2 linked regions of the Danio rerio genome follow. The protein of the gene in region 1 interacts with the protein of each later gene in a pairwise test. Links are inferred from orthologs where the notes say so. Each region holds a gene or a part of one and is shown on either strand. Other genes may lie near its edges.

What was found.
Region 2: the proteins of urod (region 1) and lratd2b interact in binary tests that used the Homo sapiens proteins (3 or more experiments, as listed by UniProt). The two-hybrid records come from large-scale screens. The link is inferred for Danio rerio from reciprocal best matches to the Homo sapiens genes UROD and LRATD2.

What each region holds. Positions count from the first base shown.
Region 1 is NC_133177.1:30,909,327-30,913,161, forward strand, and holds part of urod (uroporphyrinogen decarboxylase), read right to left. Parts: intron 2,909-3,835; coding exon 2,796-2,908; intron 905-2,795; coding exon 825-904; intron 1-824. UniProt on the Homo sapiens protein: Catalyzes the sequential decarboxylation of the four acetate side chains of uroporphyrinogen to form coproporphyrinogen and participates in the fifth step in the heme biosynthetic pathway.
Region 2 is NC_133191.1:26,526,663-26,530,190, forward strand, and holds lratd2b (uncharacterized protein LOC550535), read right to left. Parts: upstream 2,044-3,528; 5' UTR 1,708-2,043; coding exon 895-1,707; 3' UTR 605-894; downstream 1-604.

The sequences.
Region 1 (3,835 bases):
CCAATGTTTTTAGAAATAGATGGATTACAAAAAGAACTGCCATTTACTAAAACAGCCACTTGTAAAATTAGGCTGGAGGTATTTATTAAAGATTTTCTGAATTTCTATTGAATTTATAAGAGTTGTAATTTGTCGAACTTTGCTTGATACCGTCACAACATAGAACAGTTTTAGATTTGCTTCAAAAATACGCTGATGATTTTTTATACAGCCTTTGTCAATAACAAAGGCTATTTTCTATGGCAATAATATTTCATTATTAAATGTACAATTAAAAACAACAAACAAATTAATACATAAATTAAATAAGATTTTTAGTGTTAATAAATTACAAAACGTCTAACATTTCTCCTGGTGACACTTTGCTAAAAATGTGCTTACGAGTATTCATTTTATATATATATATATATATATATATATATATATATAAAAGCCTTCTGCAATCATTAAAAGCAGGGCAGCCCAGTAGAATATGTTTTACTGTAAGAGCAGTTGTGCAGAACAAACAGTAAGTAGGAGTCATCAAATTTAAGCAAAAACACATTAGTTATTCTCTTATATTTAATACAACATCTTGTAAAAATCACTTGATTAATTCTAGCCTTAAAATGTCTTAAAACTCTGAGGTTTGCTTCAAAAACATTTTTATTCTAAAATGTAATGACACAGCCGTTTTTATAGCAAGACATCCATGGAGGACAAAGAAATGCTTAACCATTTAACACATTTTTAATGATGACAATACTAATTATATAATTTTTTGTCATGCATGACAGTAAAAACACAACATTACATCAACAACCCATATGCTCAGTGGTGCTGACCTGTAATGTAAGCTCACAGCAAGCTTCAGGGGAACGACACGTCTCAAAGAAATCTTTCCCTGCCCGTGATTCCCTGAACTCTGTTGAATAGATAATCAAGCCAGTCAGAGATGAAAGGATGAACAGACTTACTTCATAATAAATAATCACACGTAGAACTGGCAGCGCTCATCAGCTACACAATATAACATTTCAGCATCGACAATAGTCACATCGATCACAGGACGTACAATGCTGAGATGGGATGGTAGTTGATCAAGCAATACAATTCAGAACATGTGACTTGTGGAGTCATTATAAAAAGTATTTGCAAATATGGACCATAATGGATTTTAATTTAAAGGCTTGTGATTGTGTAAGTATTTTAAGTTTTAAACTATTCGCACACAAGTAATTATATAATTTGTAGATTTGCCATTATTAATAGTATATCGTTATTTACACTATGAGGACCATACATTTTTATTTTATATTTGATTATTCAATTTCTGTACCTGAATGCTGTCATACTCATTTCATGTGTATCTTTGCTATATCGTGATCATCTATGCTTGTAAATTGTTTATTATATTTTATGCAAATGTACTCCAATAGAAAACCTTACAAAATAACAAATTCTTTACAAATAGAGCTATACAAGTCATCTGGTGAAATAGTATTCATATACTGCAATATACAGTTGAAGAGAAAATTAATAGCCCTCCTGTGAATATCTACTCTTTTTTTTTTTTTTTTTTTTTTTCCCCCCAAGTGATGTTTGCATTTCTAATACTACTATATTTTTTCATCTGAATAAAGTCTTACTTCTTTTAGTATTTCTGGAATAATAATAATAAAAAAAAGATCAATATTATAATTTGTTTTTTAATATTTATTTATTTATTTGACATGGACATCACAATTACATTGGACAACCAAATGCATTTGTTTAAGTGTTTAAGCAAACTTGCTAATTCTCAACACCTGTCCATAGGAGGCTTGAAAAAATTGGCAAAATGGAAATATAATAAAACATATACACAACATTATATTTCTTTACAGAAAATGACTGAAGCAAAAGCAAAGGAGACATGATCCAACAAACTAACAGTAGACTTGCTTGTGCAAACACTGCTGTTTTGTTTTAAACCACTTTTTTTAAGAGCACTACTAAAAATATTTAGATTTCTTTCTGATTTAAGGCTAACAGATAAATCTTTCCACAGTTTGGCTCCCTTTACAGAGAAGACAGATTGACCAAATGAGGTCTTACACTTTGGCACTAGACAGTCATAGATTTGATGCCTACGTACTAGATCAGAAAACAGCATTGGAACATGATTATTTAAACATTTAAAAACCAATTTAAGATAATTCAATTTAATATAACTATTAAAACTAAAAAGGTTATGTTTACATAAAACATCACATTGATGCCATCGCATAGGCTTTAAGTCCATAATTTTAACAACTTGTTTATATATTGAGTCACTAGGCGTTAATGTAGTTAAAGAGGCTTGTGACCAAGATGTAATGCAATATGTCAAGTGAGAGAATATCATTGTGTGCATGTATAATTTTGCAGTATGATATGTTAAAAACCTTCTAATAAAACGAAAACAGTTTAGACTTTGCTTAACTTTCTTACTCAGATTATCAGCCTCTTTAGAATTGTATTTATCCGATTGGCTACTGAACAAACTATTGGTATCCATTGAGTTGCCTACCTAACCTAACTTGTGAAATAACTAGTAAAATATGATGTACTGGCATCGTGGGAAAGACTAAAGAAATTGATCATTAGAGATCAGAGTTTAAAACTATTATGTTAAAAAATGTATTGGAAAAAAACTGTTAAAGAGCACTTAGAAATATTTGAAAAAAATAACTAAAATATCACAGGAGGGCTAATAATTTTGCCTTGAACTGTATTGCTGAAAAACAAAATATTATTTCTTTTAATATCATGCAGCCAAAGTTATTGTTACACACCTGGCAGGTAGCGTCCAGCCTGTCTCATACACCACACTGGAATGTGCTCGATCTCTTCTCCTCGCGCCGCTCTCAGGAATGTGTCATTCCTCAACTCTGGAAAGTCTTTTGGGCTGAGAGAAAATAATGCAATATTTAATTATTTATCAGACAACATTACATTTCTCCAGTGGTGAAGTGAGGCTAGATAAGGGTCAGGGTGAAACTGACCCATACAAATTGACAGCTCTTCTACACATCGTCACCTAAGAATTCTAAGGTTCTATCTGACATTTTTTTCAAAATTGAGTTATAAGATAATAAGATATATTCTTAATAAATGACAACTTATTTACATTATGGCATTAATTTTTGTTGTTTAAAACCTAAAACTTTTTCTTAAAAAAAACAAATGTTACACACATACTGTTTGCTATGGAATGTAAAAACTTTAAAGCTCAATGTCTCAAAATCATTCGGAACGCAGATAGATCCTTATAATTTCAAGGTGACAACAATAAATTACTACATGTACATGAAGAAAATCTGTGATCTTACTGACTTTACAGCTGTATTTCTATATTGTTTTGAATGGTACATGTAAGTGAAAGAGCTGTAAATTTGAGTGACTGACCCATTCAAGCGGTCCTGCTGTAAAACAGTCCCTGAATGATCTTTGCTCACAGTCTCTACACACCATACCTGAGGCGCAGATGTGAATAATCACGTAGAAAAAGGACAATCTTTATAAATTGAGATTTCTATATCAAGCTTTCCATGGATGCATGGTTTATTAGATAGGACAATATTTGGAACATGAGAAAAATAAATAAATAGAAATACTCTAAAAATTGCCTTTAAAGCTGTTCAAATTAAGTTTAGCAATACACATTACTTATTATAAAAAAAAGTTTATAAATATATATTTATGGAATGAAATTTACTTAATGTCTTCATGGAAAGTAATTTTTACTTTATATTATGGCGATTTTGTTGCATTAAAAAAATACCTATTTAAACATCTGTTTAGCTGCGCCTTTATAGAATGAGCACTGTGGAAC
Region 2 (3,528 bases), on another chromosome or scaffold:
TGAAGAATGGTGGCAGAGATGTAAAATGATGATTTATTAATAACTTAGGGCTGCACTGTGATCCATAATATGCCATCAAATGATTATTGTAGGGCGTCATGGTGGCACAGTGGGTAGCACAATCGCCTCACAACAAGCTACATCAGTTAGCATTTCTGTGTGGAGTTTGCATCTTCCCATTGTGTTCGCATTGGTTTCCCCCACAAGACATGCGGTATGAATTGGGTAGACTAAATTGTCCATAGTGTATGTGTGTAAATGCAAGAGTGTATGGGTGTTTCCCGGTATATGCTGGATAAGTTGGTGGTTCATTCCACTGTGGGGTCTCCAGATTGATAAAGGGATGAAGTTGGGAAAAAAAAAGAACATTTACTGAATATAACTAACAGGACTTTTTTGTGGCTGATATAAACTATTGTTGTCTTAAAAGTTGTAAATTTCTTTAGGTTAATTGTTTTTTAATAAGATTAAAATAAATCTGGACACATTAAAATACACAAAAGTCTTGCATTACACTTATTGTGTTGATGCATGAAACCCTTAAATTATTAATGGACCCATGTACACACTGAGGCAATGAAAGCTGAATAACAAAAAAAAAGTCTTAAGAAAAAATACTCAGGTTTATTGAAATAATGTGCCAAGGGAATACATAGTTCTCAAATAAAGTGAGATAGGCTTTTATAAACGGTTCCCTTGTATGTGAATACAACAAAGTGAGGGAATGATCGTGTCCTTGTCACTGAAAACAAGCTTGTTCAAACTTGTTCAATTTATAAAAGTGCTCCTGTCAGAAAACTCTGATGAAACTGCACCACAGCCGCTGTGCTGGAGGTGATTTAAATAACACCCATATCCTCCATCAAGACCAGAGAAACCTCCCTCTTTGATTCATCAGTTACAGTTGTAATCATCCCCAGGCTCTTCAGCGCAGTTTAAATGATTCTCCAGCTCCTGAATGACAGCTTCCCTTCCCATTTGGTCGTTTTTCCTCTTTTCCACGATCAGATCCTCTAAACTTTGAAAGTCCAAAACGTGACTTTTCTTCTCGGAGAGCTGCAGTTTCATCTTGTACGGCTGTTTACCGATGCGTATTTCGCCTCCGACTTTAAACTCGCGTTTTCCAAACCTGCACCAAGCGGCGAAGCACTCCGAGTTCTTCCAGCAAACGTCCCGCTCCTTCAAGCCCACCTGCTCCATGGCATTCTGGACCACCGCGTCCGAGCTCAGCGCGCGAAACTTATACAGCTCGTTCACGATTCTGCCCCTTTTACCTTGACTCGCGTCCAAAAGAAAGTCGCATTTGATCTCGTTTCTGTGCAAATGAACCACCTGTAGCTCGCCGACACACACCGCCCAGTGCGGGAACTGACCGATGGCCACGAACTCCACCAGGTCGCCGGCTTTGCACTTGTTCGCCAAGTTCTCGCGCGACAGCGTGCCCACTTCACCAAACCGACTATTCCGCTCGTATATGACCTCGTCGCGATAATACACGGCGCACTCCAGCTCGTTCCGGCAGTCGTAATGTTTGACATCTTCATTCTCCGTCTCGTCCATGTTCTCCTCCTGCTCGTCGTCATCGGCGGAGAAAATATAAGAGACGCCGATCCGCGGAGCGTCGTCCTCTGGGTCAAATCCATTAGGGTCAGCTGTCGGTAATTCATTGTAATTCAAGTGTGTGAGCTTCTCCACTTGATTCCCCATAACAGCGTCCGACACTCGTTCCGCGTCCCACCTGTACAGGTCGAGGAGATTTCAAAAACGCAACACGTAATCCGGCTTTGGAGCCCAGTTCAGGTCAAAGTCCATGTTTTCTGAATGTCCGCGAGGAGTATTTATGTAGCATATCGTACATTTGTCGAAATTGTTTGCCGGAGTTTAGATTATGTTGAGTTTCGGTCTGCGTTTTGAACAGGTGCGTCTCACCTGCTCACTTCCTGGTGCGAGCCGGGGACGGGGGAAGCCCATCCGACACTACAGCTGAAGTCCGACGGCGAGCGTCTCTTGTTGAGAAATGAGGGGGTTTGAAGAGTTATTTCCTCTGTTTGTGCGTGATGGACGGCGTCCGACACTCTTTGAAGTTCTGGCTGAGGCAGTAGCAGAGCTCTGTGTGAAATAGTAGCGGGCACGGGGATGTTTACACAAGGCACGGGCAGTTAAAGAGACAGCGCACATTTATGACTGCCAGATGATACATGGTCATTAAACTGAAAAATTAAACTCTGAGAGGCTAACGTTTAAATTATAGAGCATGAATTGTGACTACTTTTTTGATAAAATTATAAACATAGGACTTAAACTTATACAGTATTTATTTGTGTAAAGAGGTCAAATACTATAGCTGAGGAGACCTATCAAACAGTTTTATTGACTTGGCGTATCACGTGATATTTGAACTTTAAACTCATATGTTGACATTTTCAGGCAAGACATTATATTTAAAATGAGTGCAGATTAGCCTAGTTATTTATTACTTGGTTATACATTTGAACAATAAATATTGGGATGGCTCACAAAAGGTTAAAGAAAAACATTTCTGAAAAGGACTTGGTGATAAGAAGAGAGGAAAATGTGAAGAAGCATGTGGACAAATGAAATTACTCAAAGCGATATACTCCACTGAAGGTACACATTTTACAGTTTTTGCTTTACCTGGGAATCAACCCCACAACCTTGGCATTGCTAGTGCTATGCTCTACTTCTCTATATTATTCAATGTAGATGTTATAGTGAATCTTCATGAATTAAAAATAGCTGTGAGGGACACATCATTCAATGGAAAAGACTTTTTGTAAAAAAAAAAAAAAAAAAAAATCCCTCTGACAAGAATAAAAAAGATATGCTATAACAAATTAAGACAGTACCCCCAACTGAATGAACTGTACTTCTGAATTTCACAAGCCTTTTATCACTTGTATAAAATTGAGCATGGTGTCTACCCCAAATAAAGTCCATTACTGTGTTCTTCACATTGAATTTAGTGACAGCCTCTTCAGAGGCTCTCCCTGGAGGTACTTCAGCTTGTGATTTCCAGTCCGGGGCAGGAGGGTCTGAAAGCCACTGCTGTGTTTATAGTCCTGCGTTGTGGATTGGCAAACAGCAAGCCCCTGGCTGTCAGTCCATCAGCCCACTGCAGGGGCGTCTCATGCCCAGAAGCGTGTTTCAGCTCTTAATTACCTAACAGAACAGCTGGCCCACAAGTCTGCCATGTATTTGCTCACCTCAGCACGAGGACGTCTGCCTGTCGCCGTAAGGCATATCACCAGTTAAACCAGCTATAAACTGAGTGTCCATCTCCCAGCACCTCAGTAAAAAAATCCACAGCCTCCTGACAGTATCTTTAGACCAGACACATTTGGTTCTCTAATATTTTAGACTTGTATTATGTTGGATTTCTAGGTAGGTAGGAACACTATAGGTATTAAATCTTGTAAAACAGTATTGGTTTTGCTGTGTGAAAGCACACCAAAACAAGATATTTATAATTCACTGCATTGTACCAAAACACATAATTATTGAAATTGT